Canis lupus familiaris: one gene and its partners. Each later gene encodes a partner of the first gene's protein in a complex. Links are inferred from orthologs where the notes say so. Each region holds a gene or a part of one and is shown in the gene's direction. Other genes may lie near its edges.

Region 1 (3,500 bases):
TTAAGATTTTATTTATTTATTCATGGGAGACACAGAGAGGCAGAGACACAGGCAGAGGGAGAAGCAGGTGCCCTGTGGGGAGCCGGAAGTGGGACTCATCCCAGGACTCCAGGAACACGCCCCCAGGCCAAAGGCAGGCACTAAACCGCTGAGCCACTCTGGGATCCCGACCTTCCTTTGTAATGGGAAGAATGGATGTGTGCAGAAGCTTTTATGTTTATAGGTTTAGTACCTAGAAGTTGAGAGGTTGGAGTGAAGGCCCATTTACTAAAAATAAGAGTGGAAGATGTGTGATCAAATTTTAAGGAAAATTAAGCTTGAAATACTTGTGGAATATTTCAAGTACTCAGTGGAGAATGAGCTGGAGATTAGGGGATCTGGAGTCAGACAGTTTGAGTTCAAATCCTGATTCTTTTATTTACTAACTGTGAAGTGGGATGAGTTATTTTTGTTCCCTATAATATATCTATATTCTAGAAAAATATCAGTCATTCTCAATAAATACTTACTAAATGAATTATGAAATCAGATTGATTCTGTTAGTGTTTAGACAGCTACAGTAGAATGGAAGGATAGGACAGTGGGAGATATTGGTAAGAAAGTGGTTGATTAAAATAATGATTATGAAATCTCAGCTGAATGGGTAAATCAAGATTTGAATGAGAGGTTAGAAAGGGGTCAAGGAATTAGAGGCTCCTGTGAAGTCAGAGGGTGGGTATACTAGGAATCATGAGACAATGTTTGCACTGGACAAGGTTCTGGTGTGGGCAAGAGAGTGGGAGGCTATAGTGAATTCAAGAAGCATGTGAAAAAAAAAGAAGAGAGAGAGACTAGAATGAAAGTTATATGGGTATGAAAACTGCTTATGGGGTCTTTTGGTGGAACACTATGAGCCATGTGCCAAAAATTGCCAACGAATTTTGAGGGGGCTCAACTGGGAAGTTAGTAGTTTGCTGCTACCATGAATAGGTAGGGATTGAATAGCTGGTTATCATGTGGAATTCATAGCAGCCAGAGTTTTCATAAGATGGTGGAAGAATGATAGCCTGAAAGTTGCAAGTTGAGGTAAATCAACACCTTCTCTTGACCCTGAGGTCTATGGGATGTGAAAGAATGAGCATCTTCCAAAGAGTTCCAAAGTATTTAGTATACTAAAGGAACCAAATTGCAGCTAAGGAGGGGAGATGGAGAACATGATTCAGTAAAAGGGCCAAGAGTGTATTTATGTATTAATATTTTATTAATGTATCTTGAAAGAAGATTTTTGAGAGCACAATAGAAAGTGTTCTGAAGGAGGAAAAGAGTAAGAAAAAGCTATTTATTTTTTTTATTTTTATTTTTTTTAATTTTTTTTTATTTATTTATGATAGTCACACAGAGAGAGAGAGTGAGAGAGGCAGAGACACAGGCAGAGGGAGAAGCAGGCTCCATGCACCGGGAGCCCGACTTGGGATTCGATCCCAGGTCTCCAGGATCGCGCCCTGGGCCAAAGGTGGGCGCCAAACCGCTGTGCCACCCAGGGATCCCGAAAAAGCTATTTAATATATAAGAATAACACAGCTGTATGGTAAAGAGATGAATGTGAGACAGGTAGATGCCAAAGGATATGTTTTGGACTGTGACCGAAAATAACAGGAATATGAAGTGAAATGGATTTAATCTGCCACAAGAGTTTTTTTTTTTTTTTTTTTTTTTAAGTAAACTCTATCCCCCTAACGTGGGCCTCAAACTCATGACCCTGAGATCAAGAGTTGAATGCTCTACTTACTGAACCAGCCAGGTGCCCTAATCTGGCCCAAGATTTTAAAGGTGATCTTGGTCTGAGCCATCCAGTACAGTAGCACTAATCACTTGTGGCTATTTACACTTAAATTCATTACAATAGAAATTAGAAATTCATTTCCGTAGTTGCAGTGGCCACATTTGAAGTTCACAAAGCCACTTGTAGATAGTGGCTCTGCTACTCAACCATTCAGAGAACATTTCCATTATCCTAGAAAGTCCTGTTGGACAGCCCTGGTTTAAATAGGGTACAAGGGAAAGGGTAGTTTAAGAGCAGCAGAGGTCAGTGTCTGGGTGGATTTTACATGATTTTAAACATCTGGTGCTGATTATATATAACAAATTTAAAGTCAATTTGTTGTTGAGTCTTCTAATGGGATTGATTTCTACTTTTGGTTTATTTAAGTTGGCACAGCAGTCTGCAGGTGGAAGAGACACTCGGTTTTTACGTGATGAAATTCGCCAACTTGAAAAACAATTGGAACAAAAAGATAGAGAATTGGAGGACATGGAAAAGGAGTTGGAGAAAGAGAAGAAGGTTAATGAGCAAGTAAGGCATATTTCCTCAATGAATTTTAACTGTTTAAGTTACCTAAAAACACCTGATTATGTTTTTATAATGGCAACTATCAATTTCTGTGTTTTATGTGAGAATAGATGTATGCTTACCTCTAAAGTTTTGTATTACTGTTCATGTTTTCATTATATCTTTGAATCAAATTCCATGGTTTTAGGAGTACTTCATATTGTGCAATAAATACCTATATGTAAAAAAAATATAGGTTCTTAAAAAGTTTGTTAAAGCCAGCATTTTTAAATCCATGTGTATTTTAAATCACAACATTTTGTCTTTTAGACAAATATAGTTATTACCTTTTGGATTATTATATTGTTATTTAGAAAATAATTCATCCAGTGTTCTCTTAAATTTAGTTTAAGGAAAAAATTTTTTGCAGGTGTATTTAGAAAATCCTGTCAGAAAACAAATTTCCTATTTTGCCTCACCTGTTAGTAAACTTTTATAGAATCTGCTGCCTAAGCATAGTAACATTCCATCCCTGATTCCCAGAAACTTTCACCTTTGTGTCCTTTTAGGTCAATATTTCATTACATCCTAATAATATTTGTCCATTGTTCTCTTAGAAGTAGAAGGCAATAAATTTTAAGTAAACAACAATGGTTATAAAGTGTTGTCGCTATTTTATAAGGTTATAAGGTGTTACAAATTGATTTGTAAAGAAAAACTTCCCTATTCTTGATATATTTATTTTCTTACATAATTAAAAGATTCATGTAAAAGTGATCTATCCATACCATTTTTGTGCTGAAAAATGTATGGATTGATGCCACCTAAAGGTTAGGAATAAGTTCTTAGAGGATTGTCTGTTTAGTTGACTTAATAAAACAAAGCAGACCTATGAATTTCTTAATAATCATTAAGGACTCAATCTATGATATACAGAAATAGATTTGCTTGTTAGGGGGATATCTGTCATTTTCCGAACTGTTCTTCCATCTAGCCCATATTAATCAACTTTTTGTCATTCATATCCATATCCTGTTAATCAGAACTATCTTGTCCATTCTTAGACTACTATCTATTCATAGAAACAAATACAGAAAACTTGAATATATGGCCTATGTACCATTCCAGTTGTTAGATTCTTTGAGATGGAATATGAGTTATTGGCAATTTCTTCTTTGCCCTTATTGAGTTT
Region 2 (4,275 bases), on another chromosome or scaffold:
GGCGCCCCTGACATAGCTGGGTTTTAAACCACTAGGAGCCCCTGGTTACTTGATAACCACAAGCATTCTGCTGAAAAGTGACTTTTGTATAATACTGAGCTTCAAAAGTGACAAGGAGTAAAGACAGGTAGAATTTGTGGGAGAAAGCATTTTAAGTGGAAAGAGGGTGTGAGGAGTGGGGGAAGGGAGTATGACCAAGTCCCTGGAGAGCAGACCTACACTCTGAGCTGTGTTGTTGCGGTGGGGACCCCACCCATCTGGCCTCCTCAGCCGCAGCATCTCCCATCAGACTACCCACAGCCCCCTCCCCTAATCAGTTATCCTTGCTCAGCATTCCGGAAGAGGTCAGTGGTCCAGGCTGGCCTTGACTCTTCCCTCCCTCTCCTGCACAGGTGTCTGAAGGGAGCCCCCCTGGTCTGCTTCCAAGCTAGCAGCTGGCTACGGTGGGACCACCCCCTGGGGTCCCTGCTGGGGGCATGGCCTCCTGGAAGTCTACACACCTGTGCATCCCTTCCTGGATCAGAGATAAGGTCTCTAATGCCACTTTGACAACCTGGCCTGGGACCAGACAGAGGAGGCAGTGAGGCTCTTTAGCCTGTTTAGTCCTGGATGTGAATGCTGATTCGGCGACTTACCTGCTGCTGTGACTGTGGCCCAGCCACCTCCCCTGGGAATCTGCTTCCTCTCTGAGTAGTGGCCATGTATTCAAGTATTCATTCATGCAGCACTGTTACCAGGGCTTCTATGTGCCAGGGAACTAGAACTCAAGATCCGCGTGGCCGCTGGGCTCATGGAACAGCGGGCTGCCTAGAGAGGGGAGTCAGGATAGTGATCAACGTGCAAATACAAACCACAGTGTGTGCTAAGACGAACCGGATCGATGTGTTAACCGAAGCTATGACCACTCGGGGCGGCCAGGGGGTTAACCGGGCAGTGCCGTGGGTTCTGGCTCAGTCTTCCTCCGACGGCTGGAAGACTGGGATGCCAGGTGCTGCTCCTCCGTGGGCCTCCGTTTCCCCCTTTCACACCGAGGAGCCGTAACTCGGTTGTTTGAGGCCCTCCCCAGTTTGTTTAATACACTTTTGGTGGGGGGCAGGGGCCTCAAAGCCCCAGGGGACCCGCCGCAGTCCCCAACCGGGGACTCCGCAGAACCCGGGCGGCCCAGCCCCGGCCCGACTCGCGGCCTTCGCGCGCGTCACCTCCACTCGCGGCGGCGATCCAGCTGCACCGCGCAGGCTCCCCTCCGCGCGTCCCCGCCGCCGTCCCCCCGGTAGCGCCACAGCGCCACCTCGCGGCGGAGGGCATCGGCCCCACTTGGCTTCCGGCCGGCGGGAGGCAGGGCGCGCCTCCGCCCTGCGGGTGTGACCCGAGCAGCGGCGCGGCTAGCTTCTACACCGCGGGCGGACCGTTCCAGCTCCGCCCCCCGCCCCGCCCCGCCCCCAACCGCCGGCTGCGCTTGCGCACTGCCGCACCCGTGCTTTCTTTCGCGAAGGTGCCTTCCCACGAAATGTGTCCCACGCGCCACGCCGTCGGTTTCCAGGGCAACCCGGCACCTCTTAGCAGCCCCGCGCGCCGCGGGGGTCGTTTCCTGCGCCCCCAGCCCTGCCATGGCGGCCGCGGGCCCCAGCGTCTTCCTACTCATGGTCAACGGGCAGGTGGAGAGCGCCCAGGTGAGCGGCCGGGGACCCCCGCCCGCCCTCCCCCCAGCCACCCGCGGGGGCCCGTCCCGCCACCTCCCGGGCTGCTGCGTGGCCCCGGAGAGGCGCGTCTGTCGGGTCAGGCGGGGGACGGGAACCAGCGTCTGAGAGACCAGGCCTGTGAGCCCTGGTTCTGCTCGTGTCCGCTCCGTGGAGTCCCGGGCAGGAGCCTAGCGGGTGTAAGGGGAGGAGCGGAGACTCGCCCGGGTTGCTGGGCCCCGGCCCCCCAGCGCTCTGCACTCTGAACCCTGAGGTCCTTGCATTTGGGTTAGGATGGAGGCGACCTGGTGAATGTGCGCCAACGACGGGGGTGGTGGAGAGGTCCGGGGAGGGTCTGTCGGGTCTGACCGACGCGGACGCTGCTCCCCATCGCCTACACTTGGGGAGACCCATTTGTCGTATTCACATGCATATAAGTGCACCACGAATTCGCCACGTGCCGGACTCGGTGCCCAGCACTGCGCATTCGGCCCTCACCACAACCCTGGGAAGTGGGTGTTACTAGCATCCCCATTCTACAGATGGGGACACTTGCCCAAAGGGAGTGGCAAAGCTGAAATTTGAACCCAGGTTGCCTGACACCAAAACTTTGGTTCGTTACCCTTCCAGGCTGTTGGAAGATGGTATTTATTGTATTGTGGGGATTAAGTGAGATGGTTTGGGCAGAGCTCTGCCAGGACCTCTTACTAGGTCTCTCTTGCCTCCCTGTTTCATCGGGATAATGCTCCCGTGTTCCCACCCTGTCCACCTGCCCCTGGCCTAGCGTCCAAGACTGCCTTCCCTTCTTCTGTTCTGTCCCATTAGGGGCCCTTGGCTGGGCTGGATCATGCCTCTCTGCTCTGTCAGCACCCATGCCACTCCCACTGTGCCTCCTGCTCAGTTCTGGGTTCCTCCCTCTCTCCAGGCCTTGAGCTCCAGCCCTGTGTATACTTCATGTCCTGATAGCATCCTTTCACTTCGGCAATGTTCCCTAGATCTCTTCTGTGCCCCCTTGTGCCAGGCTCTGGGGGACACAGAAAGGTCATTGCACTTGTTCCCTCTTCACAGTCAAACAGGGTTGACAGAAATAAAGGAGGTATCAAAGCTTTGGTGGAGGGAAGGACCAGGGCCTGACAGAGCTGGGGGTGGGGTGGACCTTAGAACGTTTTGAAGGATGAAAGGGAGTTTGCCAGATGGAGGAATGGGACGGGCAGGGCAGCCCCGGTGGCTCAGCGGTTTAGCGCTGCCTTCGGCCCAGGGCATGATCCTGGAGACCTGGGATTGAGTCCCACGTTGGGCTCCCTGCATGGAGCCTGCCTCTCCCTCTGCCTGTGTCTTTGCCTCTCTCTCTCTCTGTGTCTGTCATGAATAAATAAGTAAAATCTTAAAAAAAAAAAAAAAAAAGGAATGGGAAGGGCATGTCAGACAAGGTGGAGCCTGGGCAAAGGCTCAAGGGTGGTTGCAGCCTGGGACTGTCCCTTGGACTCCCACATCTCAGGCCCCAACCCTTCCACTGAACTCCGTGTCCCCATCCCCGGCTGTCTCTTAGACTCTACCCCAGGCACCCAGTGTCAGCATCCCTATTGGCTGCCCTTAGCTAGCCACCGCGGTGCCTCCCCCTCCACAATCCCTGTAAACAGAACCTGTGTGTGCTTCTTCCTACAGTTTCCTGAGTATGATGATCTCTACTGCAAGTACTGCTTTGTGTACGGCCAGGACTGGGCCCCCACGGCGGTAAGCTGGGCTCTTGGGCCTCCCTCCCTCACAGCCTCCATGCTTAATGGGGTTTCTGAAGGTGTCGATGTCCACCATACCCCTTCGTCTTCCAGTTCAGAAACTGTTGAGAGGTAGACACCGAGCTCAGGGGGTTCCAAACATGACTTTGTTCCTGGTAAAGCTGGAGCAGAGAAGGTGGAGCAGCCACCTTCAGGCTCCTGATCAAAGCTGCGGTCGCTCACACACCCTGTCCTGGGAACTTGCACTTGGCAGCAAAGAGGAACGTGTGGGCGGCACAGACCCCTGAGGGCCAGCCTGGAAGTATCTGGGCGGTAGGTCCTCTGTCCCTCTCCTAGCCCATGAGGAGGACTCTGGGAAGTCAAGAGGCCGAATAGAAGCTCTGCTTGCAAGACCGGCCTCAGAGCAATCTGTCTCCACAGACAGCCAGGCCAGAGTCCCAGTTTCGTGGGGCGAGGTAGACAATAAGTACTGATGTTCTAATATGTTCTAGGAAAAAGTGCCGGGGACAGAGTAAAGTCAGGAAGGGAGGAATGGAGGGTAGAGAGAAGCTGGAGTCTAGGTAAGGTGGCCAGGGAAGGCCTCCCTGAGATGGTAACTTTGGGTAAAGGGTGAAGGCAGGAAGGGAACAAGCCACACGGAGGTCCGTAGGGAGAACTGTGCAGGCAGAAAGGGCAGAGGTAAAAAACAACAACAACAACAACAACAAGAAAGGGCAGAGGTGCACAGGCCCTGAGGTGGGAACGTGCCTGGCGTGCCCAGCATGCCCAAGGCACAGGGAGGAGGCCTGTGTAGCCAGTGAAGAGCATGAGCAGGGATGAGAGTGGCTGGAGATGGAGCAGGGGGGTTGAGGATGGGACAGGCC
Region 3 (3,936 bases), on another chromosome or scaffold:
GCATTTTCCACATGCATTAAGAATTGTGTGTATGTGTATTTTCTTTAATAGTGTCAGATCCTCATTTTTATTACAAAATAAAAAAGAGTTTTTTGAGAAAGCCCAAAGTTGTTCCAAGCTGCGACTGATGAATAAGATGGCTAAAAATTATGCCGGATGATTGTACTGGGAGAGCGGGGGGATGTGAGAACAAGATAAAACAAACACAGTCCAACAAAAACGGAAGTGAGATTTAGATATAAGAAAAAAAATGCAATTTTCTATGATCTGTAAACTGCCTCTAAAGCTAATTCTAAAATGTTTTGGTGAACATTTTATGGGCCTCCCGGGGTGCTTGCTTTTGAAAGGCAACATTCACGTGTGCGTACGTTTGGTTAAAAATTAGGTTTCTTCTTTATTCACGAACGGGGTAAAGATGATCTCATTTTATATACAGGATTTCCTTTATCCAAAACGAGGAAACTGGAAACACAATGAAACGTCTGCCCGGAAAAGACCTTTTTGAAATGCTCAAGCCAATCTTCCAGCATTGCCCATTTCAAATCAACGGGGGTGTTTTTTGTTTTGTTTTTCTACCCTTTTATTTCTATTTTTTGTTTTTCTACCTTTTAAAAATTATTTATTTTTAAAATTTTTGATTTTTAAAAAAAAATTTAAAAGTTTTTTTAAACTTAATTTTTATTTTTAAAATTTATTTGTTTTTTATTTAACTTTATTTTTATTTTTTTAACGGACACACTTCTCAGGACACATGCACTGCTGCAATGTCTCCTTTAACGCGAAATCGCCCGGTCTGAATAAATTCTGGTGTAAACGTCATTCAACAGCTCCACGAAAAAAATACTTCCTCTCAATCTGCGTGATACCATTAGAGACTGCCGCGGGGTCCCGTTCACCGACCCCCGGAACCGGTGTCGCGTCCCGGGAACAGGTGGCGGCCCAGGGCGGGCAACACGCCTCCCATCGCCCGCCCGGCCTCCGGGTCCAGCCCGCCTCCCGCGGCGGCGCGGTTCCCCTGGCAACGGGGCAGCGGCCGCAGGCACTTCCGGAAGCCCGACGGAGCTGTCCAATCAGCTCTGCAGACTCGCCGCGGGGGCCGATGGGGCGCCGGGGCGTGCGCAGACGCCGGCGTCCGCACCATGGCAACGGGCAGCGGAGGGGTCGGGGCGGCCATGGCGGCTCGCTGGGTCCTGAGCTTGTGCCTCCTGGCGGTCCTCCCTCGGGCCCCGCACGCCCAGACCTTCTCCTTTCCCTTCGTGCAGCCGGAGTCGTGCGGCCACAGCCAGCGCTTCGACATCTCCGCGCTGTCCTGTGTCCCGTGCGGGGCCAACCAGCGGCGGGATGCCCGAGGTGAGCCGGCCCGGCGGGGCCCAGGCGGGGCCCTGACGCCCCGGCCTCGGGGAGAAACGTCTGGGGGAAAGGGAACCGCCAGCGCGGGAGGGAGGGGTGTCCTCGGAGCACCGCAGCTTGTGCGGGGGCGGGGGGGTGGTGAGCCCAGGCCTCGGGCGCGGATCCCCTGCTTCCCGGCGGACGGGTCTGCAGGCGCCCTGCAGGGCGAGAGGGACGGCGGGGGGCGGGGAGGGGGCGGGGCGGGGGAGGGAGGGGCGCGGGAGGTTACGTGTCTGCAAACGGGACTCCAAGTAAAACATATACAATAATAATTAATAATAAAATCTGTTATTGCTTTTATTTTGCTTTTTAAAGATTTTACTCAGTTATTCATGAGAGACACACAGAGAGAGAGGCAGAGACCCAGGCCGAGGGAGAAGCAGGCTCCACGCAGGGGGCCCGATGCGGGACTCGAACCCGGGACCACGGGGTCATGACCTGAGCCCGAGGCAGATGCTCAACACCCAGGCGGCCCTTTGCTAGCGCTTTGATCTTGCATTTCAAAGGCCACAAACCTAGAGCTAGAAGGACCCTAACCAGGATGAGGTCCAGTCTTCTCCTTTTACAGGCGAGGAAATTGAAGCCCAGCCGGTGTTGTAATGACCCTGTCTGTCGCCCACACCGCAGCTCGGGAGGACCGGAGTCTCTCTGCCCTCAGCGTAATTTCCCCTACATCGTGTGTCCTTAACGTAGATTTCCTTAGGAGTCGTCCCTTTTGTTACTGAATATTACTGATTGCTCTTGAAGTCTCTTGAGAGTAAGCTTATTTCTTTTTCTTGAAACATGTGTCATTTGGTCCTAGTTCTCCCCCTAGAGAGGGGGAGAAGCTGCACAGAACAAGACTTTTCCCATATTACTAAGGAACAGAATTGGCATAGAGTAGAATAGACCGTATTCTGAGGTCCAGGATGTCTTCAATCTCGATTTGGTCACCCACGATGTCAACCCTCTGCCATCTCCAAATCTGATATATCCTCCTGTAAGTCATGATGTCAGGCTCCCCAGGTGAGGAAATACGAACGAGAAAGCGTTGCACAGGCTCCTAAAGTGTAGGGTGTTGGCTTCATACTTAGGAACCCAGATAGCGTATGCATCTGCTGCATAGATTTCGGTGGGTGCTGTTTCCACCTGATGTCTCCTTAGGGACTGTGGTCCTCACCCATCCAGCAGGTTGAACAGTGATCATCTTAGTCTACCATCTATCCAGAGGAAAACAATAATTTATTTGAATCAAGATAACTTAGTTCATAAAGTTTTGTTTTGGCAAAGTAACTTGGAAATCATCGAATATATGTATGTGGTCAGATGAAATAGAACCGTACAGTTTCCCATAACGGTTAACGAAAACTCTGATTATTAAAATTAAAGTCCAGTACTCCAGTAGTTCAGTGATGCTTGCACTTAAGTAGCAAGCACAATACCTACTGTGTGCCATACATAGTCTAAGACCTTTCCATATAATAACTCATTTACTACTCATACCAACCCTACGAGGTAAGTACTGTTATCGTCCCCATTTTGGTGAAATGGAAACCTAGGCACAGAGTTCAGTAACTTGCTCAAGGTCACACAGCTAAGTAGCAGAGTTAAGATTAGAGCCCACATAGTACGTTTCCAGATGTGCTCCTAACAGCTGCCCTGGTTTCCAGGATCTTGAGAATATTGAAAATTTCCCCATCTTGGAGTTTTATTTTTATTTACCAAGGTCAAAATTGGCTCTTTTCTTTTTAGGAACTTCATGTGTGTGTCTGCCGGGATTTCAGATGATCTCTAATAATGGAGGACCTGATATTATTTGTAAAAAGTGCCCAGAAAACATGGTATCAAGTATTTATTTTGAAATAATTTTACTGTAAAACGTAGTAGATTGAATGTCTTTATTTTAAAATTTGTATTTGTTTATTTTAGAGAGTGGGGGAATGTGCAGAGGGAGAGAGAATCCTTGAGCAGACTCCCTGCTGAGCACTGGGCCCAGTCCCAGGACCCTGAGGTCTTGACCTGAGCTGAAATCAAGAGCCAGTGGCTTAACTGACTGAGCCACCGAGGCGCCACTTGAATATCTTTATTTTTTAAACTATGTTTTAATGCTGTACTCTAATATGTTCTCAAATTCTAAAATTACTAAATTAACTTTGTTTTAACTAGAATAAATTTTAGGAGATCAGTGAAATTTTATACAAGCTTGGAATAAACAAATGTATTGCCTGAGTTTTTAAAATCTGAAATTTAAAAAGCCACAAAGCTGTGAAAATGTGTCTTTATGTTCTTTATATTTTCTCACAGAGTAGCTCTGTCTTAAAAAAATAGATAAATGATACAAAGAGCAAGTTGGGATATGTGTATTTTTAGACTAGTACAGATTGAGTTATGTGTCTTGGAACTACTGTGTCAATAGTTTTATAACAATATATGTTCATAATGATACATAAGGTGTGATCAGTTCATGAGTTGCCAATTGTATCATTAAATAGGTTAAATAGTATCTGTTGCTGCTCTGTTAGTCATATAACTTTTTGAAAATTAGTAAATTAGTACTATATATAATGA
Region 4 (3,500 bases), on another chromosome or scaffold:
GCCACATCGTTTCTGGCTTCTCAGAAACAGGTTAAGACATTGTTACTAGCCCCTAAGAAGGGAAAACCGCCTGGGAGGCAGTGCAGACATTAGCATTTTCAGGGTCTGTGCTGCTGCAGGGAGCTCAGAGGGCCCAGAGAGGGTTTGGTACCTACCTTGCAGGAAACTCAGGTGGCAGCAGACACAAGTGCACGTGCTAGGCTCGCTTCTACCACTGCGTGTTGCCTCTTCTAATAACAGATACTCACAAGGCTTTTTCAGCCTGCAAACTTCCTAAAAGGCAGTTCCCAGCTAAGGAGTTCCACCAGTGCCTTTTTGGCAGGCACCAAATTTAGCAGGCTTGCTAGCTTTTCATGCCCCGAAGAAGCATATTAAACAAACAAACAAACAAACTTGTTATTGTCAGAAAATTTCAAACATAACACAAAAGTAAAGGATTACAATGGAATCCCTTCTACCCATCATGCAGCTTCAGTGGTTGTCACATTTGCCAACAAACATGATGTAAAGGCAGGGAAAGGGTTAGAAGGCCCACTCGCCTGCTCTTCCATGGGGCAGAGACCTCAGGCTGGCTCCCAGGTCTCCAGCCTGCAGGCAGGCAGCACCCATGGAGAGTTAGCATCTTTGACAATTTACCCTCGGCTGATACCCCTGTGTAACATCTTAATTGCCAACTGATGAAATTAAATGAAAAGAAAATATTTACATTTCCTCTAGGTGCATCTTAACGTGATACACAATTAGGTTTAATTTCTATGACTACCACCATCCTCTCCTCCCCACTCAATGCCAGCTTCTCCCCTCAAGAATCTCTGAGTTGGATGAAGCTGGGCAGTTAAGGCCCAAGGTTCTGCGGTTTGTTGTTGGGATCTCCACAACTTCCAAGTAATCTTGACCTTTCTAGAAACAGGAGAGGATGGAAAAATGCTTTAAGTGTTAAAATATTTTTGGGAATATTGAGTACTTTAAAATATGTGCTCTCAGCTGTTTTTATCTGAACTTCTAGAGTCTCTTCACTCTCTTGTTCAGAACATTTTGTAATATGTGAAACACTTTATAATTAAAGCTCTGAAGTGCAGATTAAGTTTGACATGAAATTGTGTAATGTTCAAATTGATTAATGACATTCTGTTTTGCAGGATTCTTGCCAGCTCCCAGTGGCTTTGTTTATAGAAGTGAAGTGGACCAAATACGGGTCCTTACTGAACCCACAGGCTAAAATTGTAAACGTAACTGCAAGTCTCATTTCATCCCCCTTTCCTGAGGTAGGTCTAACTGGGGTTTCGAGGTGTGGGTTAAGACAGAAGTCCAGACAAAACTCAAGCGTGATAGTGAAATTTATTTTGTGAAAAAGATTACTGAAATTTATTTTTTTTTATTTTTTATTTTTTTAGATTACTGAAATTTAAACAATCTGAATTCTTAAAATAATCTGGCACTTTCTTAGGGAAAAAAAAATTCCACTGACAACAGTTGAATTCACAGTAGCATTTTTGTTTGGAGCTGATCTTTAAAATTCTTTGAAAATGGAGTTGTGGTTGACATTGGTGGGTAGGACAGCCTGGGTAAAAACCCTCTCATCCAAGTGAGCGTATGAGGAGCCCTGCATGCGCCTAGGAGATGGGCTGACCGTGGCCCCAGGAGGGAAGGGAGCACAGGGTATGCCACCTTGTGACCCTGTGCACATGAGCACACACTGGAAGCAGGACTCACAACACTCTCTTTATTACAGACCGACTCAGGAAATGAGAGGACGGTTCTTATTTCCACTGCGGTTACTTTTGTGGATGCGTCTGCACCTGCGAAGGCAGGCTTCAGAGCTCGGCCAACCATCAATGCCAGGCTGCCGTTTAATTTCTTCTTTCCGTTTGTTTGACGTAAGTTGTTAATCAAGGAGACAGCACCGCACCTCCAGAATCGAGGGGCCTCGGCTCCCTTGGAGCCATCCTGAGATTCTACCACAGATCTGCAGGGTTGCCCTCAGACCACACACTTCCCCTCTCCATTCACTCTCCTCCTTTTGGAAATTTTATTCTACTTGGTTGACCTTAGAATGTGGCGCCACCTGGTCTTGGTGATTTCCAGTACTGTTAGCACATAGGTCATGTGCGGAAACCAAATTGAGCCTTTGGGAGGATGGGGAAGAGGACAGACCCTGAAGTAGCATAGGTGTTGAGGCTTTATCCAGTTTATCCGCCTCAACATGAGTTATTTTTAAACTACTTGTTGTAGTTCATGTCCCGTGGAGATAAATACAAAAATAGCAAAATACTGCATATAAACTCATGTGAGTAGAGTACACGGTCTCGTGAAAGGATCTCCCCCCAGTGTCGTCTTCATTACATGGAGTCTTGGGTCTAATTGCTGTTTCTGTGGCAGGCACTGGAGCTCTCCATCTGATGGGCTGTATGGGATGCCACAGAGCAGTTCCAAGCCTTTGATGCTGGAAAGAATAGAGTAGGAGGGCTCGAGGGAAAAAGTTTCTTTTATACGTTAATTGTACAGTAATTGAGAAAATGTTGTCAGGTGGCAGAACAGGGTAGAGCCAGTTAGAAAGCTGGTTGCTGCAGAGAGGGGGCTGGGTACCTGTGAACAACCTCCTGGGGGAATGTTAAAACAGTTTGAAAAGATAAGACTTTTCTAGAATGGGCTGGTAGCCAAGGTAGCTTCCTTTTTTCTTTTGTCTTTCAGAATGCTCACATGAAAAGATGCACTGGTTCCTCATACATGGGAAATGGGAAAGTACATTTGATGAGATTAAATTTTATATACAACTAAAAGTTGTCCAGCTTCGTTGTTCATTTTCAAGCAAGAGTCAGGTGTTCAAAATGAGAAAATATAGTTTGTAATACATTGTGATATGGGGTGAGAATGGGACGGGAAGCTCTTGATCACACCAAGAAAGAGTGAGCCTTCCCTTAGACTCCCCCCACCCCAACCCCCCAGAATCTGAGCTGGGTCGGGGGTGAGGCAAAGGCATCAAACCAGATCTCTCTCCCAGACGGTCCCCAGGAGGGGCAGCTGTCTTTCTTATCAGAGGTGCAAGCCTGTGAGGCAGTCTTGTCTTTGGGACGAAGCAGGTACATGTCTAGTTGACTTCACCAAGAAGTCCATGCTGTCTCAATAGCTTGTTCAGTCTTTCAATTTCTTGTTCCTGTTATTAACAAAGGCAGACAGATAACTCAGTTTTACCTTCTGAACCTTGCCAGGGATGTGGCAATTATTTGATGGGCCCCAAGGATGCAAAGCTGAATGGAGGCTACATTCCTGGTGGAGTCTGCCAGTGGAGCCTGCTACGGTCAGCTGGGGCCCAGTGGGTGACTGCAGTGACAGGATGTCCAGAGGAGGGACACCTGGCATAGCTCTGGGGAAGGAGGTGATGCCTAATCTGAATCTGAAAGGACAAGGAAGACTGAGCGAAGGGTGATATCTGAGCAAAGGCCTGGCGGAGTGAAGCTCTGTGCTGAAGGCAAACAGATGGCATTTTCCCAAAAATGTCT
Region 5 (3,500 bases), on another chromosome or scaffold:
GTTAATTGAGTGATGCATATTCCACAGGAAATCCTTAGATAAAAATCACTTTTTTGTTTTTTGGTTCTCATTGTCTTCTTTTTTTGTATTCTTGGTCCTTGTTAGGGAAAAAAAAGATTCGTCACCCTATTTCAGTGCATTAATAAATGATATTTTATTCTTAGAGTGCAGTCTGCTAATGTCTGGCTTTTGCTTTCTTTTCCTTTGAAGTTGCTTTGTTAAAGATAAATAGTCATGGATTTTAAGATTAGATTGTGTGTAAATTCAGTATATACTGTTGAATTTATTGTTGTGGCAACAGTTAATTACAGTGTTCTTTTTCTTCCATGCACTTAGTTTCTGATAATAATGAAGACACTGATGGTGATGGTGTTCATGAAGTAACAAGCCGAGATAGTCCAGTTTATCCCAAATGTTTGCTTGATGATGATCTTGTCCTGGGAGTTTACATTCATCGTACTGATCGACTTAAGTCTGATTTTATGATTTCTCACCCGATGGTAAAAATTCATGTGATTGATGAGAATACTGGTCAGTATGTCAAGAAAGATGATAGGTAATTTTTTTAATTGCACAGCCAACCCTTGAAATTGAAACTGTCTACAGTAGAAGTCCTCTTTTCTGCCCTTGAAAGTCAATGGAAATAAAGCTAAGGATTTGTGTTAGAGAATAATTTACTGGTTATAGGTGTTCATCAACCATTGATACTGATCAGTATGTTTTATAGGAGAGATAGAGAACATCTGTTAATTTAGTGATTCATTTGAAGTAGAGGGGGTTCGAGAGAGCTTCTGCCAAACTTAATGACTAATTTATGGCATTGAACTTGCAGTGTAAATCACTGTGTGTTTGCACTGTACATGCTTTAATTGTCTAGCTTTATATCTTTCTTTTGAAGTTAATGTTATTTGGGCCTCAGATGAAGACAGTGAATCTTTAATTTTTTCTAATATTATTTCTATAGCTGATACATGCTTGAAGCTTATAAATAGGAAGCAGAGTAAAATAAATGATTATACTAGAATCTGAAAAAGTCATTTGCTTGGAAAAATTACAGGGATGAGGAACATGAAGATTATCAAAATTAAGTTGTTCAGTTATCTTAGGGCATACAAAAAATATGGCACAGTTGAAAGCGTTTGCAATTCTATTATGCTCGTTTTCTTTCAATGTGTACTGTACTATTACAAACTCATTTACGATAATGAAGGAGTCTAGCTCTGTATGCTGCACTCTCACTTTAAATTTCTATAATAAGATAATTCTGTGAAACCAATCAGTAGTAAATAAATACAAGATAGTAGGATGCTACCACTTCTACATCTTAAAATTTGTAATTTTCTCAGTGGACAACGAAAATAATTTTTCATTATATATCATGACTATTCATTATTTCTTCACCTTGAACACTATATTTTTTTTCTCATCTCAAAATTATCATAAAGAAATGTGTTAATGAAAGTATCTTTTTTTGGACAGTGGACGGCCTGTTTCATCTTACTATGAAAAAGAGAGTGTGGATTACATTCTTCCTATTATGACCCAGCCATATGATTTTAAACAGTTAAAATCAAGACTTCCAGAGTGGGAAGAACAAATTATATTTAATGAAAACTTTCCCTATTTGCTTCGAGATTTTGATGAGAGCCCTAAAGTCATCTTGTTTTTTGAGGTATGAATAGAATAGACCAATTAAAACTAGATTTTGGTTAATAGTTTAATAGCATAAATGTAAACTATTGTTTTTAGTAGTTTAATAATGCAACAAAATAGTGTGAAGGACTTAATCTCTAGGATTTAGTGTTTGTAATATGCTATGGAGATATAATTGAGAAATACAGGTAATAGCATATTTGCTGAGTATTTACCATTGTGAGTAATTAGCCGTGTAATTCACTCTGTATTATTTAATTCTGATAGTAATGCCATGACTGTAAACTTAAGTGATGAATCTAATCTATAGCTATACAACCCTCCATTTTTAACCCATTTTACAAAATGTAAACTCATTTATGTATCAGACCCCCTTAGAGTTTATATACAACTGAGAGAAATAAAGGTAAACATACACAGATCATTTGACTAACATAATGTAATATATAACCAAAATGAAGTAGAGCTTCCTAGATAGGGGAGGGTGAATGGAGGGTCAGAGCAATCAGGGAAAATTTTATGAAATAGATGGCCTTTGAGCCGAGTTGTTATTCTAATGTTTTTATGACAAAGGAAATCAAGGTTCAGAATATAAAATTTACTTACCCAAAGTTACTCCAATTTTAAGTGTAGGTAATTTGTAGGTGGTTTGAATCTAAAATACACATTTCTCTACTTTGTGACATCTCTCCCTAAGCAAAGAGAAGTGAAGAAAACCTCAGTTTAAGCAAGATGAGGAATTTTAGCATTGGAAAGGCAGGGGCATGACTAACGCCAAGGATTGATTTTGTGGAATGACTTGTTTTTATGCTCTTTTAACTTTCAGATGATCTGTATATGTTTGTGATACGAATATTCCACCATTACATCTGTGATTATGTTGTATGATTTATACAGAGCTGTGATTTTTTAAAGAGTGATGTAACTTGTTTGTCAAGGAACTTTTTCTTTGTCAGAGAAATTTGGTTATAATGTTCACATTCATTTTAGTAATATTCATAAATTTAAGAAAGATTGTTGGAATATGACATTTTTTTGTTGCTTCTTAAGGTTTTTTTTTGGGGGGGGGGTGGAGTTTTGTTTTTTTAGTTTTAGGAATATAATTTAGTGATTCATCACTTATATATAACATACCCAGTGCTCGCCCCCAACAATTGCCCTGCTTAACATCCATCGCCTTGCTTAGTCCACCCTCCTCCCCTCCAGCAACCCACAGTTTGTTTCCTGTAGTTAAGAGTCTTTTCTGATTTGCCTCCCTCTGTTTTTATTTTATCTTTTCTTCCCTTCCCCTATGTTCATCTGTTTTGTTTCTTAAATTCCACATGTGACTGAAATCATATGGTATTTGTCTTTCTCTGACTTATTTCACTTAGCATAATACATTGTAGTTCATTCATGTTGCACATGGCAAGATTCCATTCTTTTTGATGGCTCAGTAATATTCCATTGTACTTGTTTGTGTGTGTGTGTTTATACACACATACCATATCTTCTTTATCCATTCATCAGTCAGTGGACATTGGGCTCTTTCCATAATTTGGCTATTATTAATAGTGCTGCTATAAACATTGGGGTGCATGTGCCCCTTTGAATCTGTTTTTGTAGCCTTTAGATAAGTACCTAGTAGTGCAGTTGCTGGGTCATAGGATAGTTCTATTTTTAGAACTTCTAATACTGTTTTCCAGAGTGGCAGTTGCTTCTTAAGTTTTAATATAATCTATTGTCTACACAACTACTTTTGATTTCAGCTTTTAAGGATTTATTGAGGACAACTTGATATCTATAAGAAGTCTTTAAAATCATTATTCCACTTCTAAGTATTTTTACTAAGGGAAAATTTACATGAA
Region 6 (3,703 bases), on another chromosome or scaffold:
GAGACACAGGCAGAGGGAGAAGCAGGCTCCATGCAGAGAGCCTGACACGGGACTCGATCCAGGGTCTCCAGGATCGCACCCTGGGCCAAAGGCAGGCGCTAAACCGCTGCGCCACCAGGGCTGCCCCATAGCAGATATTTTTATACAGCTCTTGTCGTAGTTTAGAAACATTTTAGGATCCAATTTTTTTTGTACTTCGTAATATAAATATTTCCCCACGCTGCTACAAAGTTTTAATTGGTATTATTTTTAGTGGTAGTATAGGATTCCTTTACTTAGCCATTCAGCAATTGTAGAAGAATATATAGACGGTTCCAAGTTTGTTTGTTTGTTTTAAGATTTATCTATTTGAGGGAGAGAGAGTGTGGGTGGAGGGGCAGAGGGAGAGGAACAGAAATCCTCAAGCGGACTCCCGGCTGAGCACAGAGTCCATGCAGGGTTTGATCCCATGACCCTAAGATCATGACCCGAGCCGAAACCAAGAGTTGATGCTTGATGCTTAATTGACTGAGCCACCAGGCACCCTCACCATTCTGTTTTTAACAAAAAAATTTTAAGTAGGTTCTACACCCAGCATGGAGCCCAGTACACAGGGCCTGAACTCATGACCCTGTGATCAAGACCTGAGCTGAGATTAAGGGTCAGATGCTCAACTGACTGAGCCACCCAGGGGCCTTTTAATATAAATATTTTGACAAGTATTTTAACAAATTTGTGAGCAACTTTGCATATTCAGTTCTCTTTCCTTTTGAATCATTTCTTTGGAATAAGTTCTAACGTTCGGAATTTGCCTGAGAGGTAAAAAAGTACTTTTATAGCCCTGATTATTTTATTGAGAGAGCATTCATGGATTAACTTCTGCTTATATTACAGTAACCACCATCCTGCTGGACCCCCACCCCATCTGGCTGGTGGGAAGGGCTGCTGAAGCTCCATTTGTCATTAATGCTGTCATCCGATACCCAGTAGAAGTAATTTCATATCCTTTCAGTTAAAGAGCCACAGTAGCTCAGTTTCCAAAAAGGAGGGTTCCTCCGTCATCCCCAAAAGCAACAGATGTGGGAAGCCTTTGATTGGAAACTGCTAAGGTATCGTGGCCCCGCTCAAATGACTCCATCTGCTGTTCATACAGGGGGAATAATACTCATTTCCTCTTCATATTTCTCTCTGGGCAATTCTTCAGGTCAAAATCATCCATATTTATATCTTAATCCTCTTTTATCATCCCTTTTATATTAAGGGTATTTGAAACATTTTTGCCATTTCCCGTCTAAACTAAACCTTTGGTTTAACTTCCACTTAGAAAATATCATCTGGGACTCCTTAACTCTCTGTACATATCTACCAGGATTCTGGGAAATGATCAAGTTTGCCTGGATCCAGTATGTCAGTATCCTGCTTATCTTCCTCTGGGTGTTTGAAAGAATCAAAAGATTTGTGTTTCAGAATCAGGTGGTGACCACAATCCCTGTCGCAGTAATGCCCCAGGGAGAAACATATAAGGAGCACTTATCATAAGAAGACCACTTGTGAGAACTAAGCAGGACCCTGGCTACCTCCTTATTGTCTGAGAACTGCCATCTTAAGAAATTTTTGCAGAGAGCCCATGGACACGTGCCAGTGTGTATGCTTTTCCTATCAGAGACAAAGCACAATCCTTTCTCATTTTTCTCTATACAAATTCCGTATTTTGTAAGCACCTCACCCGGGACTAGTTTGTAGAAACATCTGAGGGTTCCTGAAAGCTATAATTTGCTTCTTTTTTTTTTTTTCCTTGCCTTAGGCTTCAATTTCAGGAGACAACTACAGTCATTTTAGAACTCTTGGAAAGAATCCCATCTCTAGTCGAGCAAAGACTTTTCCTCTCTTGAACTGAGAAACATGCTATGCATTTCTTCCCACTATTGTAAACCACTTTTTACTCTTTTCAGGTCTCTCTTGTGAGAGATGTGCAAATCAGTAAGTAGCACTTTCCACTACTGAGCATCAAAATTTCCCACTCAAAACTTTGGTTTCCAGCACCGAGAGGCCATGAAGGGGAGAATGGAAGCGCCCGAGAGCACATACACGAACACGTGTATGGGTGGGTGACTCCAGGACACTAGGACCATCCACCTGCCCTCCGGCTAACAGACAGTCGTCTTATCATTATTAGCTCAGCTGAGCGGCCCTTTATCCCTGCCCTGCCATGGCTGGCTTGTTGCCCTGCCTTTCGCCCTTTCTGTGCCCCTGGAACAGCAGGCTTCAGCCAGAGTGCTGTTTCGTTCACAATCCCCTCGGCAACAGTGGGGGAAGTAAGGATTGCAACCGCAGTTTCTTTCTCTGGCCCTCATCCAACAGCCTGGACAGTTGCCACTCCTCCTCCTTGACAGCCCTCCCCTTTCTCGAAAAGGACGTGGGTGACAGAGGAGCTGTTGTTGGTATTGGCTCCCACTGCCAACAACCACAGAGTTTATTTGGAGGGCTAGCGAGCGGGAAACCCAGCACTTGTATTTCCCTTGATGAAGGAACAGGGTGCCCATCAGAATGAGCGGCTTTGGGGCGGACACACAAGGTGCAGCAAGGGGATAAAGAGGATGCTCACCCAGGCAACTTAATCTGGCCTGGCCATTAGCAGAATGTCAAGTAGTCCAGCAGGTTCACCCTCTTGCCTAAGTGAGCGTCTGTAGGATGGGACGACTGAATGCGGCTCTGTCGCGCGTGAAGACTAGTTCTCCATTCTTGCCTTGAGGAAACAAACCGTCCTCAAAGGATAAATGGATCTACTTTATGATCCTGAGATATCATTGACACTGAGACATGCCTGCTCTGATCCATGCTAACATACTCCTCGGTGAATGCTGCAGTTTACCTTGGAGATTCAGTTGTTTCCAAAGCACCTTTTCTTCCAGGCTGACCAAAATAAAAGTTTTGGAAACAGCTGTTTTGAAGTATTCAAGCACAAAAAATAGCTTAACACTGGCCCCTCTGCCTTTTCTTGTAATATCTAGGGCTGTTTATATACCTAAGCATTTTTTTTTTCTTGAGGTAGAAATGAAAAAAAGGGTTTCTGGATTGAATCACAAAAAGGTAATGAGATATGGAAAAGAGCTAAAGACATGATAAACACTGCTTTGCATTTTGTTAAATTATTTTAATGCAAAATTTGTATAAAGAACCATGATATTTTTTCTACCTTTCTAATTAAAATACTCAAAACGGAAGGTTTCTTGTGGCTTTTTCAAGAGTTTGGAAAGGGGGTGGGGAGGGCAGAGGTTGCGCACACTTCTCCGCGTTACTCACCGGCAGCTATATGTTGCCAGGTCTCTGCCCAAAGACCTTGGAACTTTTGTTAGCTCTTTGGCAAGTCCCCTGGTCTGGCCCCAAGTACTTGTGAGTTTTTGGTGGAATCCACATAGCATGTGGAAAACACAGGCTGGAAAATTACAGCTGTGTCTGGTGAATATCAAATTATTTACAGATCAGATGTTGGTGGCTTCTGAACCGGAATGAAACAATGTACCTGCGAGAGGGAGAAAGGTGAGTAATACACAGGATTTTACCAAAGGAGCTGTAACTCAGAGCTAAGTCAAGGTTTGAAACAATTAATATTTGTTGATTGGGATGGGGGAGATCTCTAATTTTGCACAATGATTATCCAGTTTCTGTGACTCAAGTGAGGCTCCTGAGCCCCTGCTTAGGTCCCATCATCTAAAAATTTGGT
Region 7 (4,002 bases), on another chromosome or scaffold:
TATGTACATCAAAGTATTTGTAGCTCTTTTTAACTTAGTGATTATCTTCAAAACAAAAAAACAAAAAAACAAAAAAGAAAAAAATTAAACCCAACCTCCCTCCCCCCCCCCCAAAAAATCCCACCAAAGAAAATTAAGTCATTTTTAATGGTACATGAACTTGGATTTGATCTTATGTTGTGTTTTTTCTTTTTGAGAAAAAAAATTCCCCAAACTTGCTGTACAGAGATGGAGGATAAGCAAGTGGCAAACATTTTGAGAACTGCCTGTATCACTACACAGACAGACAGACACACACACACAACTAGAAGAAATCTGATATTTGTCTGGGCCCGGAGGTGGGGGTGGGGGTGGGGGTGGGGGCGGGGCATCTCTGCGCCCTACAAGGGCGGTGCACGGGATGCGCCTCTGCACCCCGTCCCCTCTATTCATGCCCAAAGCGGGGTTTACACAATTTTAACGGGTGTAGGATTCCAAACTGAATGACAGTTAACTTGGCTTCCCATACGCCACACAAGAAACCAAAGTCACGCAATAAACAAGATACAAGAGTAAGAAGTTAAAGAACCAAATACCCAGTCGGTAAGTGCCTGGTAGGGGTCCGCTCTGGGTGCCTACTACGTCCCTGCAGTACAGGGGTCTCTAGTTTGTTCAGAGATCCGTCGGAAGAAGCCGTGTCTGGAGAATCTGACAGCGTTCCACAGAAGTCCCCCCCCCCCTTTTTTAAATATTTTATTTATTTGTTCATGAGAGACACAGAGAGAGAGAGAGAGAGGCAGAGACACAGGCAGAGGGAGAAGCAGGCTCCTCGCAGGGAGCCCGATGCGGGACTCGATCCCGCATCCCCAGGATCACGCCCTGGGCTGAAGGCGGCGCTAAACCGCTGAGCCACCCAGGAATCCCCAAAGTCCTCCTTTTCAAAGGAGTTTTAATCCGTCTTTGGCCCTTCCAGACCTCTCCTGGTTCAGCGACTAGAAGTTCCCGGCTCCTCCGGGCAGCCTTGGCCTTGCCAATCGTCGGTTCCTGGTACCCAGAGCCTGTTCTGACCTCCGCGGGGTCCTTCTCGCGCACCGCCCTCGGGCCCCTCCGGGTTCCCCGCGCCCCGCCCGCTCCGGGTCCAGCCCCGCCCCCTCCGGGTCCAGCCCCGCCCCCCTGACGCGAACGCGCTGCGGGGCGGGGCTTGGCGCCCCGCAGGCAGGCGGAGGTCCGGCCCAGGAGCTGCGGCCCAGCGAGACCCTGGGGAGCCCCCCTCTCGCAGGCCCCGGAGGCCGGGTCGCGGGGAGCCAGGCGCGGGCCGCCGGCGGTTGCGCCGAGGGAGCCCCGAGGGGGAGCGCCATGAGGGCGGACTCGGGGCTTCGGCCGGAGGCCCACCCGGTGAGCGGTGAGGGGCGCTGCGGCCACGGGGCGTGGCGGAGGCGGGGGGTGCAGCCCGATCGCCTCCGCGGCTCCTGGGGCGGGGCCGCCGCCTAGGGCTGGGGCCGCCGAGGGCCGCCGAGGGCCGCCGAGAGCCCCGCTCGCCGTGCACGCGCGTCCGCCCCTCGGATGCTCACAGGATTGGACCGGAGCGGGCGATGCAAGTTCGTCCCGAGGCCGGGAGCCGAACCCCGGGAGCCAGGCGAGGACCCGGGCGTGCCGATGCCCGGGCCTGAGTGGCCACGTTGCTGTGACGACGCCTCTCTGCTTAGCCTTCCGGGCCCCTGGGTGCCCCGGGGCTGCCAGCTAGGCCTCTCCTGCGGACTCCTCCCGGAGGGCCTCTAGCCACCCAGGGAGGAGACCGCAGTTTCCTGGCGGAGACCATTGATCATGGTCTTTCCCCACCGCCCTCGAACAAATCCCTGCAACCACTCGGAAACCATGAGCAGAACCGTGGTTGTTGCCCCACGCCCGCTGGAGTCTCTCTTCCCGGGCATGTCAGCCCCCCACGCCCACGGCCCCCTTTCCGCAGGGCTGCACTGCAAAGGCCCGACCGGCCCCCGCCCCCCCCCCCCGCCGCGTCCTGCAGGGAACCGGCTGAGTGTCCGCCAGGCCCGGGCGGCGCAGGCCGATGACGCACGGCGCCTGCGCGCGGCGGCCCGGGCGGGAGCCAGCCGGGGACAATAGCGAGCCGGCCGGGGGGCGGGGCGGGGCGGGGCGGGAGCCGGCCGGGGGGCGGGGCGGGAGCGGACTGCGAGCTCCCGGCTGCGAGCTCCCGGCGCGCGGCCGCGGGGAAGCCCGGCGTTGGACGCCATGGGAAAGAAGCAGGTGGTAAGCCAGCCTCGGTTCCGTTTGAGTCTCTGGGATTTTGTGTCCGGTGGAGCCCTCCGACTCTTGAGGAGCCGGAAGGTCGGCGGTGACACGTCATTTTCGCGGGAGTTTTGAAAACGTGCAAGCGTCGTGTGACCCGAAGCCTTGGGCAGGACGCGATCCGTAGCCGCCTGACGGTGGCTCTTTCCTGGACTATTGCTCTTTCCCGGTGGTGAGGTTCATCACTGGATAGTGTTGAGACAGCCTGCTGTGTCCTGATCTCGTAGCATTTGTATTAATACGCTGACCGCATGGATCGCTAAATGGGACGGTCGTAGAACCAACGAAAAAGAAAAAGTGTCTAAAAATGTAAACCCTTTTGAATCAGTGTCCCCTGCAAGCAGCATGAGACACTTGCAACATTAAACTGATTTCGAGACATTGCTGATAGTATTTTATTTTGAAAGATTCCAGAATGCGTCTCAACTGTAATCTCTCTGAATGGCAAACACAACTTTTCTTACCATTTGTTAAGTTTTTTGTTTTTTTTTTAATTTATTTTTTAGGGACGCCCGGGTGGCTCAGCGGTTTAGCGCCGCCTTCAGCCCAGGGCGTGACCCTGGAGACCGGGGATCGAGTCCCACGTCGGGCTCCCTGCGTGGAGCCTGCTTCTCCCTCTGCCTGTGTCTCTGCCTCTCTCTGTGTCTCACAAATAAATAAATAAAATTTTTAAAAATGAATTTATTTTTATAAGGTTTTTTTTTTTTTAATTCTCTCTGCCCCAAAATGCAGTCTCATACTGTATTCAGAGTGATTTTATCTTATTTTTTTTTTAAGTATGTTGCTATGTGGTTTAAAACCTCCCTTGGCTTCCCACTGAATTAAAATAAAACCTGGACACCTTTTTGTCTTTTTTTTTTTTAAGATTTTATTTATTCATGAGACACACAGAGAGGCAGAGACACAAGCAAAGGGAGAAGTAGGTTCCATGCAGGGGGCCCGAGGTGGGACTGGATCCCAGGCCTTCAGGATCAGGCCCTGGACTGAAGGCGGTGCTAAACCCCTGAGCCACCCGGACTGCCCCCTTTTTGTCTAAAAAGAGCCTAATTAATTAATCTGGCCCCTGCCTGTCTTGATAACTATGCTACAGCCCTACCCGGCTTGCTTCTTTTATCTGAAACCGTTTCTCCTAAAAGGCTTTGTATTTGCTCCCCTTTATCTCTTTTCTTCTTTCTTGTTCAGGTCTCAGCTCGGAAGTCTGAGAGACTTTCTGTAACTAAAATAGCACTCCACATTCTCCCTCATTTGTGTGTGTGTGATCTTCTAATACTTAACCACTAGAATGGAAGTTCCATAAAAGCAGGGATTTCTGTTTTGTTCTTTAGTGCATCTGTAGTACTTAGAACAGAGCCTGGCCTCTGGATAGAAAGGAGTATAGGAAGGAAGGAATTTTATATGAAATTTAGAAATGTTAGAACAATTTTAGAATTGCCCATCTGATTCTCAAGAGTACTTCCTCTGTTGCATTTGATAAACAAGGTTATCAAAAGATTTGAAGTACATGAAATGAAGATGTTCTGAGACTTTTACTTACAAGCGATTTTCTTTTTCTCCCCATAGCGTCCTCCACGAGCCCTTCCACCTGTGCCAAGGTAAACATAAGTTAGAGATTGTATCATTGAGTTTTAAAAATGCAAAATGAATAAAGTGAAAAAGTCAACTAGTTCCATTGCAAAATTATAATAATTCAGAGATGATCTCTTGAAAATTTTAGGAAAA

What was found.
Region 2: CEP290 (region 1) and B9D1 share a complex: the UniProt entries of both Homo sapiens proteins name them as parts of the tectonic-like complex. The link is inferred for Canis lupus familiaris from reciprocal best matches to the Homo sapiens genes CEP290 and B9D1.
Region 3: CEP290 (region 1) and TMEM67 share a complex: the UniProt entries of both Homo sapiens proteins name them as parts of the tectonic-like complex. The link is inferred for Canis lupus familiaris from reciprocal best matches to the Homo sapiens genes CEP290 and TMEM67.
Region 4: CEP290 (region 1) and TCTN1 share a complex: the UniProt entries of both Homo sapiens proteins name them as parts of the tectonic-like complex. The link is inferred for Canis lupus familiaris from reciprocal best matches to the Homo sapiens genes CEP290 and TCTN1.
Region 5: CEP290 (region 1) and AHI1 share a complex: the UniProt entries of both Homo sapiens proteins name them as parts of the tectonic-like complex. The link is inferred for Canis lupus familiaris from reciprocal best matches to the Homo sapiens genes CEP290 and AHI1.
Region 6: CEP290 (region 1) and TMEM231 share a complex: the UniProt entries of both Homo sapiens proteins name them as parts of the tectonic-like complex. The link is inferred for Canis lupus familiaris from reciprocal best matches to the Homo sapiens genes CEP290 and TMEM231.
Region 7: CEP290 (region 1) and TMEM237 share a complex: the UniProt entries of both Homo sapiens proteins name them as parts of the tectonic-like complex. The link is inferred for Canis lupus familiaris from reciprocal best matches to the Homo sapiens genes CEP290 and TMEM237.

What each region holds. Positions count from the first base shown.
Region 1 is NC_049236.1:29,573,394-29,576,893, reverse strand, and holds part of CEP290 (centrosomal protein of 290 kDa), read left to right. Parts: intron 1-2,188; coding exon 2,189-2,332; intron 2,333-2,451; exon of another isoform or gene 2,452-2,516; intron 2,517-3,500. UniProt on the Homo sapiens protein: Involved in early and late steps in cilia formation. Its association with CCP110 is required for inhibition of primary cilia formation by CCP110.
Region 2 is NC_049226.1:41,067,449-41,071,723, forward strand, and holds the start of B9D1 (B9 domain-containing protein 1), read left to right. Parts: upstream 1-1,475; 5' UTR 1,476-1,607; coding exon 1,608-1,670; intron 1,671-3,341; coding exon 3,342-3,410; intron 3,411-4,275. UniProt on the Homo sapiens protein: Component of the tectonic-like complex, a complex localized at the transition zone of primary cilia and acting as a barrier that prevents diffusion of transmembrane proteins between the cilia and plasma membranes.
Region 3 is NC_049250.1:39,308,564-39,312,499, forward strand, and holds the start of TMEM67 (meckelin), read left to right. Parts: upstream 1-1,136; 5' UTR 1,137-1,139; coding exon 1,140-1,350; intron 1,351-3,120; coding exon 3,121-3,209; intron 3,210-3,936. UniProt on the Homo sapiens protein: Required for ciliary structure and function. Part of the tectonic-like complex which is required for tissue-specific ciliogenesis and may regulate ciliary membrane composition.
Region 4 is NC_049247.1:8,665,633-8,669,132, forward strand, and holds part of TCTN1 (tectonic-1), read left to right. Parts: intron 1-1,139; coding exon 1,140-1,265; intron 1,266-1,732; coding exon 1,733-1,876; 3' UTR 1,877-1,877; intron 1,878-2,691; exon of another isoform or gene 2,692-3,088; coding exon of another isoform or gene 3,089-3,154; intron 3,155-3,500. UniProt on the Homo sapiens protein: Component of the tectonic-like complex, a complex localized at the transition zone of primary cilia and acting as a barrier that prevents diffusion of transmembrane proteins between the cilia and plasma membranes.
Region 5 is NC_049222.1:28,401,027-28,404,526, reverse strand, and holds part of AHI1 (jouberin), read left to right. Parts: intron 1-336; coding exon 337-556; intron 557-1,479; coding exon 1,480-1,672; intron 1,673-3,500. UniProt on the Homo sapiens protein: Involved in vesicle trafficking and required for ciliogenesis, formation of primary non-motile cilium, and recruitment of RAB8A to the basal body of primary cilium.
Region 6 is NC_049226.1:75,839,675-75,843,377, forward strand, and holds the end of TMEM231 (transmembrane protein 231), read left to right. Parts: intron 1-873; coding exon 874-979; intron 980-1,337; coding exon 1,338-1,518; 3' UTR 1,519-3,203; downstream 3,204-3,703. UniProt on the Homo sapiens protein: Transmembrane component of the tectonic-like complex, a complex localized at the transition zone of primary cilia and acting as a barrier that prevents diffusion of transmembrane proteins between the cilia and plasma membranes.
Region 7 is NC_049258.1:10,565,182-10,569,183, reverse strand, and holds the start of TMEM237 (transmembrane protein 237), read left to right. Parts: upstream 1-1,202; 5' UTR 1,203-1,335; coding exon 1,336-1,374; intron 1,375-2,144; exon of another isoform or gene 2,145-2,226; coding exon of another isoform or gene 2,227-2,244; intron 2,245-3,843; coding exon 3,844-3,875; intron 3,876-4,002. UniProt on the Homo sapiens protein: Component of the transition zone in primary cilia. Required for ciliogenesis.